Linked DNA regions of Xenopus tropicalis. The protein of the gene in region 1 interacts with the protein of each later gene in a pairwise test. Links are inferred from orthologs where the notes say so. Each region holds a gene or a part of one and is shown on either strand. Other genes may lie near its edges.

Region 1 (3,500 bases):
TACAATTAAATCTGTTTGCCCTTTAGAAAATGGATTTCAATGCAGGAGAAGCTCTATTAACTGAGAAAAAACTTAAAAAAATTAACTTAAAAAAAAATCATGGTTTCCCATGACAGTATTTCTTTAAGCTGGCTGACCTTTTTAGGATTGATTTCTGTGTAATCTAATTGGCCAGCCAAACTGCTCTGACAAAATCACAACTCATAGGGGCTGATTTACTAACGCACGAATCCGAAAAATTCCGATTGGAAAATGAACATTTTGCGACTTTTTCGTGTTTTTCGTCGCCGTTACGACTTTTCGTAAATTGTCGCAACTTTTTTGTAACCATTACAAATTGCGCGAAAAGTTTTCGTATTGAGCGCTCGTAAGCAGCGGGCGAAACTTTCAGACTTAGCATGATTTTGGAAGCCTCCCATAGGACTCAATGGCACTCTGCAGCTCCAACCTGGCCCAAGGAAAGTCTCCCATAGGGCTCAATGGCACTCTGCAGCTCCAACCTGGCCCAAGAAAAGTCTCCATACTGAAGCTTGAATGAATCCGAAACTTTTGTACTCGGCGCAAAAGCTGCGAAAAAGTCGCGACTTTTTGCGAAGCAATCGTAATGGCTACGAAAAAGTTGCAACAATTTCCGAAAGTACCGATCATTACGAAAAAAACGCATTCGGACGCCGTCGGACGATTCGTGGGTTAGTAAATGTGCCCCATATAGTTAACAAGAAGAAGGTGCTGGCTTTAGCACTTCCAAGTTCATCAGTGAACAACATTATAAGGGAAACATAGAGTAAACCTGGCTAAACAGGTAGTAAACCTTGCCAAATATCCTATACACATTTGTCTGTTTTAATTAGAACTGTATGGTTGTCTCTAAGGGTTCTGGACTAAGAGACTTAATTGTGAGTGATTCTTGTTTGATCACACCAGCATCAGCCAGCATAGAACAACTTGGGCTTGCAAATCATTTTAGCAATCCATGTATCCATATCACAGAAATATCCAGCCCTTGAGACCCCAGGCTTTTTACCTAGATAGCCAGTAAGTCTGGCCATATGGGTATGAAGCTGCAAGACGTAGAAGATAAAAGCACTGATATCGCTGTAATGGGAGGAATTTTATGAAAGCAAAATATGTGTTTTGCTATTTTTGTTTGTGTTATAAATATACTTGTTATATCAGATATTTACCAAGACAGTAAGGTATTCTGCAGAGGCACAACATGATGAACACAAACCTCCTACATAAACATAGTTATTTATTGATTAAAGTTGTTCATCCTCTTTTCAGACAAACAAACTGCGAGTTAGCGCACAGGAGATTCAGGGGCAAGCCAAGTTTTCTACACTGTCTGCATTAGTTAACATGACAGATTTATTCTGATCTCCTGGCTCAGCCAAGAGTATAATCTGAGATTATGCAACGATCCTTAGTTCATCACAATGGATACCAGAGACGCACATAAAAAGAGGCTGTTAAGAAAAAAAAAATATTTTTATAAGTGCATCTTCGTGATTCACACACCATGGGACCCACAGCACATTTTTTAATGTTCCAGAAGCCTCCTGATTCTAATTTTCCTTAAGGATATTATCACTGCAGATAAAAACATTGCCCAGCTCCCTGTTCTATGGTCAAAACACAAGATCCAAATTAAATGGTGACTGACTGATTAAGTGATATATTTGTTATATGCTTATCCTCACACTACACAAATATTGCATTCAGTCTGACTGTTATTTGACTAATTGGTTAATTAAATGTGAGTGCTCAGATTAGTGAACTGGCACTGGAATCACACTTCTGTGCTCTATGTGTGCAGCCTGACATGACATAGATATATAACTGCATTAGCATTGCTTACATTGTTAACATTAATAAATACAATTTATTATAAGTAATAGTATGTACACAAATACCATTTATTATAAAAAATAGTATGTGGATAGGACTGATAAATTTGGTGCACTGAGCATGCTGGGACACCAGGAGATTACGTGATTTGCCCAGGGTCACAAGAAGTTATCACAGGGAATCAAACCAATGTCTCTAGTATGAGATCTCACATCAGAGCCTGATCAGTTATCCTGTAAGTTTAGTTTGGTCCCACTCTGACCAAAAGCGTTATAAATAAACATTATATTATTGAAATTCTATCATGAAAAGGAACGGTTAGTATTAACAGTGTGCCATTCTTTTTCAGGATCTTTCCTATAAAGACCGCCACTGGCATGAATCCTGTTTCCATTGCTTCCAGTGCAAGAAATCCCTGGTGGACAAGCCTTTTGCTGCTAAAGATGAACACCTCATTTGCACTGAGTGCTACTCTAATGAGTATTCTTCTAAGTGCAGCGAGTGTAAGAAGACAATCATGCCAGGTAAGGAGTGCTATGGTGTAATATTGCAGAGGATTGTACAGCTCACATAGTGCAAATGTTGTTAATGTTTATGTACTCCTTTGGCTGACATTTTTGTACCTTAAAGAAAAAGTAAGACTTTTATTTTAAACTCCCCTAAAATTACTCTAAACAGCCCCTTGAATAACATATCTTTCTCCCTTCATGCAGATTTGTTATAAGCAGCTGATCTGCAGCCTCTTTTGCGGACTCCCTTGTCTTGCATGAAGCACCTCCCCATTTTGCTTTCTGAGCAGGGAGAAAAGTATGTTATTCTGGGGGGTGTACAGAGTAATTTATATTACTTATGCTTAAAAATAAGTATGTTTTTTTGCATGGGAATAGAATACTAGAATACCTGCCCATTGACTTCCTTGGCGTGAGAAAATATACCCATTGTATTTGGTTAAAAAAAATGAAATTTGGCTACTGACTTCAATTCATTTGGAAGGGAAAAAACTATTGATTCCAATGCAGTTGGAGCAAGGAAAACCACATATTGACTTCAATGCAATGGGGGGCCAGAAAAAAATGCAGTGAAAAAAGTCTATTGACTCCAATACATTTGGAAACATTTCTACCAAATGTTGCTATTTTGCTAATTTTTCCACAAAGTGAAACAGGACAGTTTCACTCATTACTGATGGACACTAATTCATTAATTGAATATTATAATTAATTAAATTAACTATTTTCTTTGCTTTCAGGGCTGAACTTTACTACAACAATATCAAATAGAAATTCTGGCCTATAATAATAAGATTATTATATTATTTATCAAATAAGATATTATATTATTTATTGTAAATGATTTACAATAAGTATATTGTATATATTATAATATAATGCTTTAAAATGACATATTTCACCAGCAGCCTCCAATTATGAAGGAAATATAGTAGCTGTTTTCAATTTCTAGAAATGGCTGCTCTGTACACTGAGCAGAGGCACTGCATGAACAGAAAGGGAGATGCAATTAAATGATTACGACGGGAAAGGGATAAATATATTTTTCATCCAGATGGAGCATTTGGGAGGGTAACCCATTAGTTCCTAAGGTCTTTACCGTTACATCCTGTACACTCCATTTCTATTTCTGCCAGGTTAGAA
Region 2 (4,184 bases), on another chromosome or scaffold:
TTTTTCAGCAATTAGGCAGGATTGCAACAAGTACATTGTTTTGCACACTGAAATCCAACATAGCTTTCCCACAGGCAACAAATGTCCTCACGTGCCACAACCCTTAAAGGAACAGTAACACCAAAAAATGAAAGTGTATAAAAGTAATTACAATATAATGTACTGCTGCCCTGCATTGCTACAACTGGTGTGTTTGCCTCAGAAAGACTACTATGGTTTATATAAGTAAACTGCTGTGTAGCCATGGGGGCAGCCATTCAAGCTGGAAAAAATAAGAAAAGGCACAGGTTACTTAGCAGATAACAGATAAACCCCCATTATATGGGGCTTATCTACTAGTTATCTGCTATGTAACCTGTGCCTTTTCTTATTTTTTCCAGCTTGAATGGCTGCCCCCATGGCTACACAGCAGCTTATTTATATAGTAGCTTTTCTGTAGCAAAAACACCAGTTTTTTGCAGAGCAACAGCACATTATATTTTAATTACTTTAAAACACTTTAATTTTTTGACGTTACTGTTCCTTTAAAGGAGACATATTGGATAAATGGGAAAAACCTTGCAGTCACACAAGCAAAGACAGACTTCAGTTCCCTATCAGGTCAGCCTATCTGCTGATTGGTTCCTATCCTACAGTGCAGTGTACCCAGAGCCAGCAGGAAGTAGAACAGATGGGGGGGACTACCGGGGTTTTAGGGGAATTTCTCAATAAATCAGTCTGAAACACAACTTTTTTTTAAGCACAATCCTTCTATACCTAAAAGAGTATAATTCACTGGTACATTCATTTTTATATACCTCTCCTTTAATAGGTTTAAAAGTACGTAGAACATAAAGATAAAATAAATTGTACCCATTTCATGGTCCTCCCCCAAATTAGCCCTTGTTTGCACAAAAATACTGCGGCCCGCTTAATACAAAAAAAAAATCCCTAAAGTGATGACCTAATTTCATCTGACCCATGTTAGAGCAAAATCTCTTTCCTTTTTTGGTCAAATTGGGACAAGCGGATCCGACAGCGGAAGGTGCTATTCGCAACCAATAAAAAAAGTCTTCTGTTCGTTTCCTGGCAAAAGAAGAAAATCTGAGCAAAAATGATAAAGTGCTGCGTATGAAATACTGGAAGCCGACGTGGAGGCCATGGCAACCAATAAGAAAGAAAATTCTTATCTTTTTTTTTGTTCTCTAACAAAAGTAGGTGGTGTGTTGAGTATAGCAAAAACAAACTGTGAGCGGACCTACTGCACCATAGCCGCTTCTAATTGCGTAACACTAAATTACGTCGTATCCCCATGTTACTCCCATTAGACGGCTACGTGTTACGTCACTGCGCTTTGCGTCCGGACGTCATTACGCAATCTCGCGTGATGAGGCGTCGGGATTTTCTCTAAGTCAGGAAGGAGGCCAGAATCTTGCAGTTAAAATCTTTGCGGGAATTGTAAGTAGCGATCTGATACTGCGGGCTGTGATAGGAAAATGGGGAGAGTCTGTGTTGTATGCACTTACTCGTTTAGCCGGCCCCTCCCTGCTGTCGGTGAGCTGCAGACCTTAGAAGGAAGGGCGGGAGCTAAGGTGCCTGCGTTTTGTTTCCCCATATACAGCTTTCTGTACTGCTTGTTTTGTCACAAGTTTTAGTCCCTGTGAAGCTGCACAGTGATTAGATAGGGTACAGGTTGGAGTGTGAACTCTCCCTAGCCCATCTTTTCCTTATCATGCCCTACTTGGACTAAAACTTCTGTGACAAAGGGAGCAGTAGAGAAAGATGTGTAGAGAAAAGAACATGCAGGCACTGAAGCTCCCTCCCTTCTGAAGTCTGCAGCTCACTGACAGCATTGGGCCCCGTTATCAAAATAAGTGCAGCACAACAGGGCCTCCCTTAAGACCAAAACAGTACAACAATGTACATATTGCTTTATAAAGGTCTATGTTACACTCATTGCCATAATCCTTTATTTTTTAGTATCAAAGAAGAAGCAGGACATAAAGCACTCCGGACTGCCAGGGTCTGCTAAAACATGATCTTTATTTCTTCACATTAAAAACAGGTGCCTGACGCGTTTCGTGCGTTAGTGCACTTATTCGTTGGCCTATGAATAAGTGCACTAAACGCGTCAGGCACCTGTTTTTAATGTGAAGAAATAAAGATCATGTTTTAGCAGACCCTGGCAGTCCGGAGTGCTTTACGTCCTGCTTCTTCTTTGATGATACCTTCAGCTACGGGTTCGGGGCTTTGAGCACCCGGACCATCTTTGGACATCGGTGAGCACACTGTTTTCCCCACTCATATGAAAATTGAATAAGGAATAGGAGCCTTTCTGGTTTCAAGTGTTAGGCTCGGGGTTTTGACACCCAAGCCTCCTTAGCACAAGGGGTATTTATCCTGTTCATTTTTGAATATATGATTTTTACATTTCCTTAATTTTCTAATTTTTAATGTCCTTTACTTTGAAAACCAGTTTGGTTATATATCACTTAGTTGGGAGAAATTGAGTGTCTTTTTGCCTGTTGGGTGCTTTTTTCCTTTTGATTCTATAAAGGAGTAATTGCTCAGCTTGATGTTTTGGTCTGGAGTTTTATTTTATTTCTATGGGGCACTGGAGAAAATGAATGCAGGGGTTCAAGGGATTGCCTTATTTCCTGCACTATTATTGAAATAAATTATACAATCCCAGAGCCAATTAATGACAAGTGAAATACTAGTGATCCCATGAGGATTTTGAGACTGATACCAACATCAGAGGTTTATTGTAGATAGAGAAACATATATTATGGTAAGATAAGAAAAGAAATGTGTTACTTTTAGATTTGTTTTCTTTTGTGTAAACTTGTAAGCCCTCAGTTTTGTTTTAATAGTGCTTTTGAAGGGTAGGGGGTTGAAGTTGCCTTATTCTAAGTGTACTTTATAGCTGTATATTAAAGGAGAAGGAAAGTCAAAATCTATTAAGCACACTATTAAATAGTACTACTATTGCTGTGTAAAAACGCTATATTCCTGGCCGCCTAATGAAAGATTTACATAGATACACATACTAGAACTTACATACTTGTTTCAGTGAACAGCGCCACCATCTTGTCCAGCATGTCTGTATGGGCTGAAAAGCACAAGCCAGCTCCCCGCTCCTGTCACAAAGATTCTGCAGCTCCCCGCTCCTGCCACAAACCCCCCCAAGCTCCACAAACCCCCCCGCTCTTGCCACAAACCCTCCGCCGCTCGCAGCACCTGTCCCCCGCTTCCCCCACCTGCTTGTCACAGAGTTCGGCGACGCTGCGTTGCCATGGCAACCGGACGCTCCTGCCCTGTGCGCATGCGCCGCCTGCAGTAACAAGTCGCCAAGTCTTGAAGGAGCGATGCATTATGGGAATCTTCTCTACCCAGCTCAGCATTTTTTTTTCCTGTTTGGCTTCTGATCTTCTGAACGGGTGAAGTATGGGGAGATTTAAGGGCACTATTGAGACAACTGAAGGTATGCCTGCAGCTTGGGATTAACTCTTTATTAGCCTTTCCTTCTCCTTTAAGCATGGGTAGGTTTCTTGGCTTTTAGGGACAAATAATATTTATGTCAAAGTGGTTGTGATGCAGAGATGCTGCAACTTGAGCAGAGGTCCCTAACCTTTTTTTTTTTTTTACTTGCGAGCAACATTTAAATAAAAAAAATGTTGGGGAGCAACACAAGCATGAAAAAGGTTCCTAGGGGGTGCCCAGAAAGGGCTGTGATTGGTTATTTGGTAGCCCAATGTGGACTGGCAGACCACAGGAGGCTCTGTCTGGCAGTACATATGGTTTTATGCCTCCAAAATGTGCCACCAAGCCAGAAATTCAAAAATGAGCAACTGCTTTGAGGCCACCGGGAGCAACATGTTGCTCACAAGTCACTGTTTGGGGATCACTGATCTTGAGTATGCTGATGGATTATGACCTGCCACACCCAGAGTGGAGACAGTTTCTTTCTGTTTGTACACAATTCCCTAAGTGTATATTGCTTTATATCATACACTTTATTTTTAAAATATATATTCGTCAGCATGTTACAATTTTGTGTTTGCAGGAATTTCCACATTCCTTTTCACAAAAGCCCCTCTTGCTGGATATTTGCTATTCTTCCAATGATGTCAGGCCAGGAACTGGCTGAAGTGGTTCAAATTGCAGTGGAAGATTTACATCCAGGCCATCATCCAGGTCAGTAC
Region 3 (3,983 bases), on another chromosome or scaffold:
CAATACAGGTGTCAGGGAGCTGTTATCATGTTACCTTCCTATTGTTTTACTAATCGGCTGCTGGGAGGGTGATATCACTCCAACCAGTAAAGAAAGACTAAAGTTTATCAAAGCCCAAGTCACATGGCTAAGAGCCCCTAGGAAACTAATAATATGTCTAGCCCCATGTTTTGAAATTACATTTTAAAAAATCTGTTTGCTTTTTAAAAATTTGATTTCAGTGCAGAATTCCTGATGGAGCAGTACTGTTATCTGATGCATTTTGAAAAAAACATGTTTTTCATTGTTGTCTATCCTTTTCTATTCCCTGCCCTGGTGGTTCCAACTTTTGATAGAATGTAACACAAGCCACCTGAATAACAGACCTGTCTTGCTGGAGAAGGCTGACTTTAGCAACATTGTTTAAAAAATCATAACACAGAGTAAAGCAACTGCTGTTTTTAATAGCAAATACATTTACAAATAATGTTTAAAGCACTACAAATATTTAATAAATTCATACTGGAAAGTTGCTTAGAATGATGTTTTCCTTCATCAGGCAAAAATATTTTTGGGTTGACATGTCCTTTAAGGAGAGGATCACCACCTGGGATTTCAGGTTAGTGTCTAAAGCACCCCTTTTATAAAGTTTTGGACATTTGTTGTTGTTTAACACCTAGTTGCACTGGTGTAACTCTAGAGCCTGCAGCAAGATGGAGCCCAGTAAAACGTTCTGCCCATAAAAATAGGGGAGTGAGCTAAACATGGTGGACCGGTCGCACATTGTGCAGAAATTTGGTGGGTAGGGCCAGGTCTGGAATAGGATTCAAAACAGTATTTGTGTCTAAGTACAGAGAGGCCCAATCAGCCCCCACCAGCTCACTAAATAGTGACTGTCTATGACATCTCACAGCAGCTCTGTTCTTTACTGGCTAAACACCTGCCAGGTGTCAACCATTGATATCAATGTTAGTTATAGGAAGGAAAGATAAAACTATAAGGAGTCTGGTGGCAATCATTGCATCATTGTAATACTTTTTAAAAAAATGTTTCATAATTACAGTTCTGTTGTTTCTGTCCCACATAATTGGTAAAATCACAAGCCATTTCACATGTACCAACAAGCAAACATATAAAGAGTTTCAGACTGGAACAGTGATGTTTGAGAAAGCCTTCTCAAAATGGCGCTCTTCTTAGGACACGACGTCCCGAAGCAGGGAAACGTCAGAACGTCAGTGACGTAACCCAGTCCTGGCCGTGTGCAGCGTGGGTTCCCGCAGCCATTGCAGCTTAGAGAGGTCCCCGCTCGTGTGTCACGGCGCAGGCTCGCTGTAGCGCAGCCGCTCTGAGGTGAGTGCCCTACCGCGCAATCTCCAGCTATCTCAACCCTGCTGGCGCAGCCGCAACACGGAGCTCGGGCTCCGGGGTTCTGCCAGCAGCTCCGCCCCGTAGAAAGCCTGCCGGGGAGTATAGTGGAGACTGGGGAGTCAGCCAGAGGTTGCGGGGAACAAGGAATGTAGAGAGGCTGCAGCAGGCCGCACTAGGCCCTAGTGCTTGTGATATGGGCGGGGTGCATTTGAAATACTGAGAATGACTTGGTTATTAATAATGAGCCTGTGTATCCATTTCCATTGCTTCCAAAATACAGACTCTGTAGTGTTTGTGTGTTATACTCAGCAACATCTTATCTGTAGTTTGCACACGCAGTGCATGTAGCTTATTCCCCAGGGGGTGTCGAATCTGTATGGCGCCAGATAATCGGACCCCTGCTCTATATGCAATGGCTGATCAAAAGTCACATCCATGTTGTGGAAAATACTGCTCCCTCTGCAATTATAATTTTGGCTATGGGGTATGTTGTGTTTTTGTATTTTGGTAAGCCTTATTGGATAAGGCAAACCCTGTTAGCCTGCAGCAGTTATTGCAGTACAGTAGCTAATAAAAGGTGTTATAGTTCAGCTGGTGCTGTTAGGCATAGTATCTCCTTTGTATGGCCTAAGGCAAAGCTGAGCTCAAGGGGAACCAGCACCAGTTCCATTCATATGTGTCAATTCTCAAGGTTTTTCCTAAATTGTGTGGAGTCTGTAACTCAATAACATCTGGCAAAATGAGGGGGTGGGGCTGTTCATAATTATGTATTTATTGGGTTTAAGGGGAAATATATGATTTACCTTTTATGTTTTCTACACGATTAAAAGGGATTTTTCAAGTTTTAACATTTGTTACATGTCTCAATAAGTGTGTTTATATTCATAAATGGCAACACAGTTCCCCCAGTAGACCTTTATTTTGTACAGTTTGAAGAAATGTAAAAAAAAAAAATGCATCAAATGTATTAAATTCGTTCCATAGTTAAAACTTAAATTATGTGAACTTGTTGACTGTTTAGAAAACAGCAGTGTTTTCCTTGAAATAAGACATGAGGCTAAACTGCTATTTCTAAAGGTGGCCATACACGAGCAGATCCGCTCGCTTGGTGGGCGATATCGGGGAGCATTTAGGTAAAAAAAAAAATAATCCGATCGTTTGGCCCTGGGGCAATCGGATCGGGGACCGCATCAACGAGCCGATGCGGTCCCCGATCCGACCGGATTTTCTAACCTGGCCGATCGAGATCTGGCCAATTTCAGGCCAGATATCGGTCGGCCAGGCCGCTCTGCTCTCCCCATACACGGGCCGATTAGCTGCCGAATCGGTCCAAGGGACCGATATCGGCAGCTATAGTCGGCCCGTGTATGGGGACCTTTAGGGTTGCTGCAATAGGCTTACATAGGTTAGTTGAATATGCAGACAGTGTCTCCCAAACAGACACTGCTCTTCATATAACTCCCTCCCTGAAAATTTTTGGCAACAGAGCTGCTTTTTTTCAGTGTTACATTTTAAATCCCCCTTGTCTGCTTTAAGGTCTTCTGTTCTTTAAAGGAACAGTAACACCATAAAATGAAAGTGTATAAAAGTAATTAAAATATCATGTACTGTTGCTCTGCACTGGTAAAAGTTGTGTATTTGCTTCAGAAGGCTACTACTCTGCTGTGTAGCCATGGGGGCAGCCATTCAATGGAGAAAAGGCACAGGCACATAGCAGATAACAGAGAACACTATTATATTTTACAGAGCTTATCTGTTATCTGCTATGTAACCTGTGCCTTTTCTCCTTTTTTTAAGCTTGAATGGCTGCCCCCATGGCTAAACAGCAGCTTATTATATAAACTATAGTAGTGTTACTGTAGAAAACACACCGGTTTTACCATTGCAGGGATACAGTGCATTATATTTTAATTACTTTAAAGCTCTTTTAATTTTTGGTATTACTGTTCCTTTAAGAGTGAAGACACACAGATCTACTAGTAGCAGCTACTTGTTGTGGCTACTAAAACAGACAATGCTGATCATTTACCGATAACTGTATCTATGTGTGTTTTAGCAGAGGCAATTCTCAGTATCCTCTATGGCAGGGTATTTTCTAGGGTTTAGTAGCCATGAAAAGTAGCTGCTACTAGTAGCTCTGTGTGTCTTCACCCTTATAAACATAGTTCTCTGCTATCTTTAGGATTAGTAGTTAAGTGTAAGGTGACTGGGTGCACATTTAATCGCTAATGGGGCTTAATTACAAATATGAGAGACATCATAATGCAAAACCCAATTTATAGTGCCAGTTTAAAGGGTTTATATACACCGGCATTTGCCTTTTTGCCTAGTGAGAGAAATTGCAAATGGAAGCAAATTTTTGTATATGCAGTAATTAGCTATTGATTTTAAAGTTATTTGTGATTGATTTCAATAGAAATGTTCAATAAAAAAACATTCTCTGCTTCTTTCTATTCTCTGCCCTGGTAGATAGATAGATATATATATATGTTCTTATTTTTTAAATTTTTTTTTTTTTAAAGTGTTACATTCCCTTTATGTTGGAGTGGCTCTTATGGGTGCACAGATAAATATAACGTTGCTGTTCTTTATGTTCCTCAAAGCCCTGGTCATAATGTGTTTGCTGTTATTATGGC
Region 4 (4,137 bases), on another chromosome or scaffold:
GATGCACAAGAAAAGAATTGTTTACTGTTTTTTTACACAGCAGGTGCAAATGATACTGCTCCATAGGATAAAAGGGAATCAATGGTGCCAGCACTTGATAGGCAGCAACTTGGATGTTTTGCGGCATGGAAAAGGTTAATATTCCCAAATGCCGCTAGATGAAGACATTTGAGGGCTCTGACAGTTTGATGATCACTGGTTAGAACCTCACTTAAAAATATACTGTGGCGTGCGTTGTAGGCATAACTTACCCTTTAAAAGAAAAAAAGACAAATAACAATGCCAGGAAGACCAGTATTTATCCCCCCCCCCCCCTCCAAGGTCAAACCTGTAGAAAGCCCCCTTTGTGTTTAATACGAAAATAAAGGCCTTGAGCCTCACCAACATATTGGGAGTATATATTAAATAAAAAATCAGCATGTGGGCGAAGGTTATGGGACTTCTTTGTGGTACTGGCGCATTAAAGTCTCAGTGCCAACCTACAGTATGAAAAGCAAAACGTGTGGAGGTAAAAAAAACCCTCTCAAAATAACAAGACTTAAGTCTATTTAATTCGGTTCACTTGACTATAGTCTGGTAATGTGCTTTATTGCGTGAAAACAATACTAGAAATGCATGGGGCTGTGCTGGAATTTGACACTACGCAGTTTGCCCGCCAAAAACAAAGCAAAACACAATTGGCACAACCGCGTATAAGGCGTAAGTGACACATCTGACAAGCGAACACCTGGTTTTATAGCCACGGGTCGCGCCACTGCACACAGAGGGGGCGGGAAGATTCCATTGCGGCTGAAGAGAAAGTACCCGGAAGTGCTTCTAAACAACACCATAAACTGACGTGTTTATAAAGAGGAACTCAACTTCCGTACCCAACAGTCCCCACCCACTCACCGCGGCGCTCCCCAGTCCGGAGACCCCGTACTTGGAGAAGGGTTGACAGCCGTGGAAAGCAACGTCACCGGCAGCAGCGGCGGCGGCGTCACGTGGTCTGTAGAAGCCAGCGAGCTAGCGCCTCCTTAGTCACATGACCTCCCACGGCGGCGCCGTCGACAACAACAACAAGCATTGACAGAGAGCGAAGCGCCTCACGTGACTTCAATAGCGAATAGGAGACGGTTTTGGTGTACGGGCGCGCTTCCGCAGACACGCTGGGCGTGGCTAACACTGACGTCTGTCCAATCATTGGTTGGGCTTCATCGATATTTTTTTTTACGCTGCTCATTGGCTCGCCGCGGTGGGAGGAACAGGGTGGGTATTCGTCGCAGCTTGGGGAGCCGCGCACGGCGTTTGGGTGGGAGGGAGCGTTTCCTGTTCCCAGCATCCTCCGCGCAGCTAATTTTTTTTCCTACCCCTTCCCCGCTGCTGGCTGTGTCGGTAAGATGGCGGCAGTGAGCCTGCGACAAGGAGATTTGGTGTGGTGAGTGTTGCTGTGGGAATGGTTGTAGGGCAGGGCAGGCCGCGCAGGCCTTGAGTGCGCAGCTCTGTATACAAATGGGGAAGGACAGGCAGTGCCTGAGTTGAAAGGGCTGCCTGTGTCGCCTCACTCCCTGCTCCTTGGGGCTGGGACTTCAGCTGCTTCATCAACAAAGAACCGAGAAATTAAGTATGAGGGAGGGCGATTGTGCTGCCAAGCTGCTGAGAGACACACACAATGGCTGCTTAATGGCAGATACACACACAACTTTCCCTACTACTCAGCATTCTGGGAGTTGTAGTTCTGTTGGTAGTGAAGATTTCCTCTTACTGACATGGAGATGACAGTAAAGGGATAATAGCCTTAAATTTAACTTTTACACTCATGTGATTGTTTAAATACGTTCGTAAGGGGTCTTCTATTCTTTTTTTGTGTGTTTTTTTTTTAATGGTCATTTTTCGCCTGCAGTTTGGAATTGGAGTTGTGTTGCTTTTTGGTTGCTAAGGTCCATATACTATAGCAACCACTTTAAATGAGTGACCTCACAGGGTAGCCCTTTGCTGGTGTGCAGGGAAAAAGGTTAATTTATATTATTGCCCCGTAAACCTACAGCTATCGGTCAGATCATTGCAATAGTTTTAAAACTATATATTCTTCTAATGCATTATTCCATGTATTATGGTGTTCCTGTATTTGCACTGAGCAATTTTTAGCAATTTTTTTCTACTTATTATTTAAATCTTTGTTGTCTTTTTTTTTTGCCTAAAATATTCTGGGAAATGGATGTATGATCTATTTAGTTTTATTATTTGTATCCTGTGTTTACAGACTGTTGAAGGACAAGGGAAGGCTGAATCACTGGTGCTGTTGGCACCCCTCTGATTGCTTCAGTTTACTTGCGACCCTAGGGTCCATTTTGTTCCGGTGTCCCAGCATCCCCTGCTCCGTCCTGGCAGTAACAGGGTGAGAACCCTTCCTTGGGCAGCGGCTCCCTGCAAGTTACCAGGGGGCACAAAGCCAGTTAGTAAAATGATAATAAGCTCTTCTGGTGCACAGAGCACAATAGTACTTTCTGCACTAGCAGTACGGCCCCCTTGGGTCTTTGCCACTGGAACCTTTCTTTCTCCTGAATCCAATTCTCTCATTTTACTGAATAACTAGTCCAACACTGTTCTTATTATTGCCAAGCACCGAAACTCAAAATTAGTTTAAAGGAACAGTAACACCAAAAAAAGAGCTAAAAGAGTAATACAAATATAATGCACTGGTACAGCTGGTGTGTTTGCTACAGTAACCCTACTATAATTTATATAATAAGCTGCTGTGTAGCCCCGGGGGCAGCCATTCCTGCACTGGTAAAATTGGTGTGTTTGCTACAGTAACCCTACTATAATTTATATAATAAGCTGCTGTGTAGCCATGGGGGCAGCCATTCAAGTTGGAAAAAAGGAGAAAAGGCACAGGTTACATAGCAGATAACAGATAAGCTCTGTAGAATACAATAGTGTTTTATCTGTTATCTGCTAAGTGCCTGAGCCTTTTTTCCTATGAATGGCTGCCTCCATGGCTACATAGCAGCTTATTTATATAAATTATAGTAGACTTTCTGAAGTAAACACACAACTTTTACCAGTGCAGGGCAGCAGCACATTATATTTTAGTTAGTTTTATACACTTTCATTTTTTGGTGTTACTGTTCCTTTAAGGTATTATGTCAGATATATATTGTATAATTGTTAACCCCCCCACATTTTTATATTGCCTAGAGCTCCATTTTGCAGCAGTATCGGCCCTAAACTCTTATGGTGGCCATACACGGGCTGATTCGGCAGCTTATTGGCCTGTGTATGGGCACAAACGATGGGCCTGCCCGGCTGATATCTGGCCTGAAATCAGCCAGCTATCGATCGGGCAGGTTTAAAAATTTAGTCGGATCCGGGACTGCATTGGCTCATTGATGCGGTCCCCGAACCAACTGCGTCTACTCCTGTCATTCTAATTTGATCGTATTGACCAAATTAGCCCGATATCGGGAGAAGATCCGCTCGCTCCGAGACCTCGCCAAGTGAGCGGATCTTAGCGTGTATGGCCACCTATAGGCTGAGTCCATACCAACTTTGCAGGGGGGATTTTGGTCCATTCTTCCAAACAGATTTTTCTCCAGGAACGTCAGGTTTGTTGGATGATGCTTTTCCTCAATTAGCAAATTCTGCCGTTGATTCTGAACTGAGATCTGGGCCAGTGCAGGACATTTCTCTCTTGAGTCGCTTCAGTGTTAATGATTGGGATCATTGTTCTGCTAAATAATGACTATACGGCCAAACTTCTGCTTTTTTAGCCAGAAGAGTTTTTCCCTCTGTATTTTGCACCATTTATTCTTCAGTTTGATGAAAACATGATGTTTCCAACACCGTTCCTCAATGTCGGCAGTATTTTATTTGCACCATGTGAAATTGATCTTTAGCCAAAAATTCCTGTCTTGGTCTCATCTGAACAGACATTCGTGTCCTACATGGCAACAAGGTCATTCTGCATGGCAGAGTCCCGATGTTCTTTCTTCTTGTCCTTTTTTAGTAAGGGCTTCTTTTGTGCCCCACTCGCATACAGGGAAGTATCTGAAGTCTGTGAAGGTAGAACAGCATCCTTGTAAACAGAAGAAAGAATGGATAGTGAAAAGGGCAGGGAAATATTGCTATAGATTGGGCAGAGGTGTATCTTTCAGC
Region 5 (4,254 bases), about 17 Mb from region 1:
CCTGTATTGTGTTGTTGACCTGTTAAATGTGCCATTTTAAAGTGGTAACTTGCAGGTTCCGATACAAAACCTGTAAAATTGTTTCTTGCTAGATTTAATAGTAAACAGCAAAACTTTCTCACACTCTCTGCTTGCCTTTTGCCCCTGTTAATACCCTGATATGTTTTGCAGTCAACCTTTTATATAATTTTTCAATATTTACAAATGGTTTATACCAGCTCACCATACATAGGCACATACACATTTCATTTTGGTGCATTTGTTGGTCTGAGGTTGTTGGTCCCATGAATGAAAAATATTTCTAAAGTCTCCATAACCAACAGAATACATTTCACCAATACATTCTGTTCAATTAAAAATTAAAGATGCACAGAGCCCTGATAGAATATAACAACCTGCCTCCTTTCTTTATGTTTTCTGATACTGATTTGTTAAGATATGCAAATAGCGGAAATTTATGGGTAAGGCGTTAAGCCAAACAAAGCAATATACTGTGTAGGAGGACATGATGTACGGGAGGAAATAAAAGGCAGAAATAGCAGTGCCATTCTGCAATGCATTAATAAAATGAAATTGTGTGCAGAAGACAAAGATGCAGAGGGATGTTCAGTGACAGGATGACAGAAAATAAATGCCACTATCTAACAGCAGCAGGCGTTGAATGATGGGAGACTTGCTGAGGGTGGGTGTCAGTGTTAAATCAGGGCACCCAAAGGGAGAGAAGCTATACAGAATGTATACAATTAATGTGTGCCATTTTAGTAGTAGTGTTTCTAGAAATGATTGTGCATGTAGATATACTGAGTGCCACAGGAGCCCCTATACCCCCAGGGCCCAGGACCTGCTCCCAGTGTCGGACTGGCCCACCAGGATACCAGGAAAACTCCCGGTGGCCCCAGGTGTCAGTGGGCCGTCCTGCTCCTAACCATTTGGCATGTTTCATAGTCATTCCCTATTTCTGAAGGAAAACAAAGTAGAGAAATAGATGGAGGAATAAATCCTAGCATGTAAATAAAAGAGACTAGGAGAATAAGGAGGTTGAGTGAGGAAAAGGGGGGAAAAATAGTTTGGAGAGTGGGCCTATGGTCTTTTCTGGTGGGCCCCTGTGGTCCCAGTCCCACACTGTCTGCTGCCAATATAGTTTTGCCCTCCTAGTGGTCCTATATATCCCCAGACTGCCTGTAAAGCTAGGGGTGTTCTTCGGCATCATTTAGGGTTCGAAAGGTTTGACTTTTACTTTGTAACTAAAATACCCTCTCCCCACCTGTAGGAAACTCTTAATAACCCTACCATGCCTCATGGTAACATATCAAATCATTGCATATATGATCTAAAATGACTGCTAATCTGAGGCGCACAAATTGTGTTGCACAGGTGCCCGGTGAATCACTAAATTACACTTATAATGGGATATACTGGGCAACGGTGCAGAAGCCAGAGAAGGAAGACAGGCGCATAACAGCCGGCCCACAGCTTGCCGGGCGGTGCCACTGACAGACAGGAGAGGGAGGAGCTGAGCCCACAGACACCCAGCGCCCTGCACTCCTTGCATCTGCTCTCTCTGTACATGGAGCAGCAGTAGCGCCGCTAGGCAGAGCGACATCCCTACCGGAGTCCAGGGTTCAGCTCCAGTTTAGTGCCAGGAGGAAGGATACTATTGCCAGTGCCAGGAATTGGGCAGGTAAGAGGGCGCAGATCCTTGGAACCGAGCCATTTGGAGATTGAGGATGGCACTAGTGCTTAGGCGCTGTTACAGAAAGGCAAGCACCGCACAGCGTAATCATATATACATGTATAGTGGCGAGATATGTGGGGCAAGTAAGGAGAGCAGCTCAGAGCCGTGCCATGGGCGGGGAGGGGGGAGGTTATGAGAGGATACAGGGATGTGTATAGCAGGTCTGTCCCTTCCCTGCTGTCAGAACACACAGCCATGGAGGCTGCTGCGGGGATCCTACTCCTTACCCTGGATCCTCTCCAGCAGGAACAGCTCTGCCTGTATGTTCTTGTGCTGCTGGGATGGCAGGCTCAACCAGCCTCTCACACACATGAACAGATTATGTTATTGACATGTAAAACTGTTGTACACATTTCTTCTTTTGCAAGGTATATTCATGGGAAACATTTCATCTTTTGAGGGGGCAAGCAGAAGCCCTCAGCCAGTTGTACAATTATCCCAACTCTGAAGGCTAAAAATTGTAGTTTACCAACAACTGAAGGATTGCAAGTTAGATAGATACATCAGTAATGCCTCCTATGTATCTATCTATCATCTATCTATCTATCTATCTATCTATCTATCATCATCTGTCATCCTTCTATCTTTCTATATGTGTCTAAATAACCATTTGTCTTAATGCATATGCATTTTGTAAGTATATATTGCATTTTGTAAGTATATATATATATATATTCATTCTGTTTATATGTCTTCCCTTGTCTAATATACTGTGATCTATTCTATGACCATTGTAACCAAAATATCACCTTGACTTATTTGTCATTTCCAGTGAAATATGCCTTTTTGTGCATTATGCAGCTAAAAAAAAGGGGCAGATTTTCCTAAATTAAATGTCATCGCATTTTCTGTTTAGACTTAAGAAATGTTGCCAAACAGCTGCTGCCTTGTGTTTCACATGCACAAATCCCAGGGGTCATTTTCTTTCCTTTATTTTTTGGCTAGGCAGATATATTTGGTGGCTCAGTAATGAGGAGGGGGTGATTCGTCCCTGCTGGAGAAGGTGGTTTCTATCTACAGAGTGCTTCTTTGGATTCATAGGGTTTTTTTTTCATTTTTAAGATATTTTATTTTCAATAAGACTATTTACATTTAGACTACAATCATGTAGTATCTCTTTAATTGAGCGCAAGGGAGCGTGATAAGAGCAATGAACCGTCCTGTAAAGCTGTGACAATGCCATGCTGAAAAGAGAGACAAACACATTTTTTTCATAGCATTCATATAATTATAAAAATATTTCCCCATTTAAAATGTGAAGTGGTTAAGTTGTGACAGATGTATTATTAGCAGCAGGAGCCAAAAATCAATGCTTTGGCGTTACACAAGAAACTATTGTATTCCACCTTAGTATTTGAATAAAAATAGGTGGGAGGACCCTTTAATTATAGTCTGACAGGGCCCAATTCAGATATGTCAGATGGAGCTGCATGCTGGAATGAAAATGTTATTTTCCATTGTCTTTTAACAGCAGATGAAAAGCAAAATGGAGGATTCTCCAGATGGAGCAGGGCTGTAGTTTTGCACATATATCTCTTTTTCTGTAAATCCGATCTGGTCAGAACTGTTTTGGCTTCCATTGTATTGCTCGGAAGCTGCCTGCATGTTAAAGTAATAATGCATTCATGCACTTGGGTTTTTGGTGGCCAAAGGACAGGATGCGCGGGACGCACAAGCAATTATTTCAGCCTGGATGGACTTTCATGTCTTTGGGGTGGTGCTGTGGGATAATTTGATGCTGGATTTTAGGAACTCACATCTCTAATGCATAATGCATGGGACTTACAAAACGACCATCACACAGGAAACCCTTTTACAGCCAAGTCTACAATTAACCCCTTTAGCATTTATTATTCTTTTTTGTTTTTTTTTTTAATTAATAATTAGTTTGTATTTATAATTTTATTATTTTTAATATCAGAAATTCTAAGTATCAGGGACCTTATTTGCCATTGATATGAGGTTTGGGAAAAAATATCTTTGTTTGGCCACTGTTATTCGTAATGAAAAGAGAAGCCCTGCATTAACACAGTGCTGGTCTGACTCTTATATATTTTTTTTATAAGAAAGCTATAAAGAAAAGTAAAATGCATGGGCCCAGAGAACATTATTTATGTGTTTATTATATTTTAGATGTATTTATTTATGTGGGTTTTTAGGTCGCTTTTCTGCACAGCATTCCTTCACACCAATGAAAGTGTGCCCCTGGTGGCCAAATGATTATGGAAAATTTAAAAATACTAGCCTTTTCTCTATAGGTAAAGATTCTATTATGTGAAATGCTTGGGACCTGGGCTTTTCCAGATAAGGGGTCTATCTGTAATTTGGAGTACTGTTTCCTAAGGTATCTAGAAAACACTGAAACATGCTACTGTACGTTGTTACTGTGCAATACGGTCTATCATCCTGCTGCATGAGTTATACAAAGTGCAACTGTAATCTCAGTGTATTTATATAAAACACCAGCATAATATAGATTTCATATGAAAGATACAGAAATGCCTGTTACTCTTGTTTGT

What was found.
Region 2: the proteins of fhl2 (region 1) and banp interact in binary tests that used the Homo sapiens proteins (3 or more experiments, as listed by UniProt). The two-hybrid records come from large-scale screens. The link is inferred for Xenopus tropicalis from reciprocal best matches to the Homo sapiens genes FHL2 and BANP.
Region 3: the proteins of fhl2 (region 1) and nrf1 interact in binary tests that used the Homo sapiens proteins (3 or more experiments, as listed by UniProt). The two-hybrid records come from large-scale screens. The link is inferred for Xenopus tropicalis from reciprocal best matches to the Homo sapiens genes FHL2 and NRF1.
Region 4: the proteins of fhl2 (region 1) and glyr1 interact in binary tests that used the Homo sapiens proteins (3 or more experiments, as listed by UniProt). The two-hybrid records come from large-scale screens. The link is inferred for Xenopus tropicalis from reciprocal best matches to the Homo sapiens genes FHL2 and GLYR1.
Region 5: the proteins of fhl2 (region 1) and rai2 interact in binary tests that used the Homo sapiens proteins (3 or more experiments, as listed by UniProt). The two-hybrid records come from large-scale screens. The link is inferred for Xenopus tropicalis from reciprocal best matches to the Homo sapiens genes FHL2 and RAI2.

Annotation. Positions count from the first base shown.
Region 1 is NC_030678.2:111,699,104-111,702,603, reverse strand, and holds part of fhl2 (four and a half LIM domains protein 2), read left to right. Parts: intron 1-2,197; coding exon 2,198-2,372; intron 2,373-3,500. UniProt on the Homo sapiens protein: May function as a molecular transmitter linking various signaling pathways to transcriptional regulation. Negatively regulates the transcriptional repressor E4F1 and may function in cell growth.
Region 2 is NC_030680.2:65,815,711-65,819,894, forward strand, and holds the start of banp (protein BANP), read left to right. Parts: upstream 1-1,384; 5' UTR 1,385-1,437; intron 1,438-4,045; 5' UTR 4,046-4,103; coding exon 4,104-4,176; intron 4,177-4,184. UniProt on the Homo sapiens protein: Controls V(D)J recombination during T-cell development by repressing T-cell receptor (TCR) beta enhancer function. Binds to scaffold/matrix attachment region beta (S/MARbeta), an ATC-rich DNA sequence located upstream of the TCR beta enhancer.
Region 3 is NC_030679.2:87,138,907-87,142,889, reverse strand, and holds the start of nrf1 (nuclear respiratory factor 1), read left to right. Parts: upstream 1-1,183; 5' UTR 1,184-1,329; intron 1,330-3,983. UniProt on the Homo sapiens protein: Transcription factor that activates the expression of the EIF2S1 (EIF2-alpha) gene. Links the transcriptional modulation of key metabolic genes to cellular growth and development.
Region 4 is NC_030685.2:14,408,494-14,412,630, reverse strand, and holds the start of glyr1 (putative oxidoreductase GLYR1), read left to right. Parts: upstream 1-1,337; 5' UTR 1,338-1,379; coding exon 1,380-1,417; intron 1,418-4,137. UniProt on the Homo sapiens protein: Cytokine-like nuclear factor with chromatin gene reader activity involved in chromatin modification and regulation of gene expression. Acts as a nucleosome-destabilizing factor that is recruited to genes during transcriptional activation.
Region 5 is NC_030678.2:95,074,054-95,078,307, forward strand, and holds the start of rai2 (retinoic acid-induced protein 2), read left to right. Parts: upstream 1-1,454; 5' UTR 1,455-1,681; intron 1,682-4,254.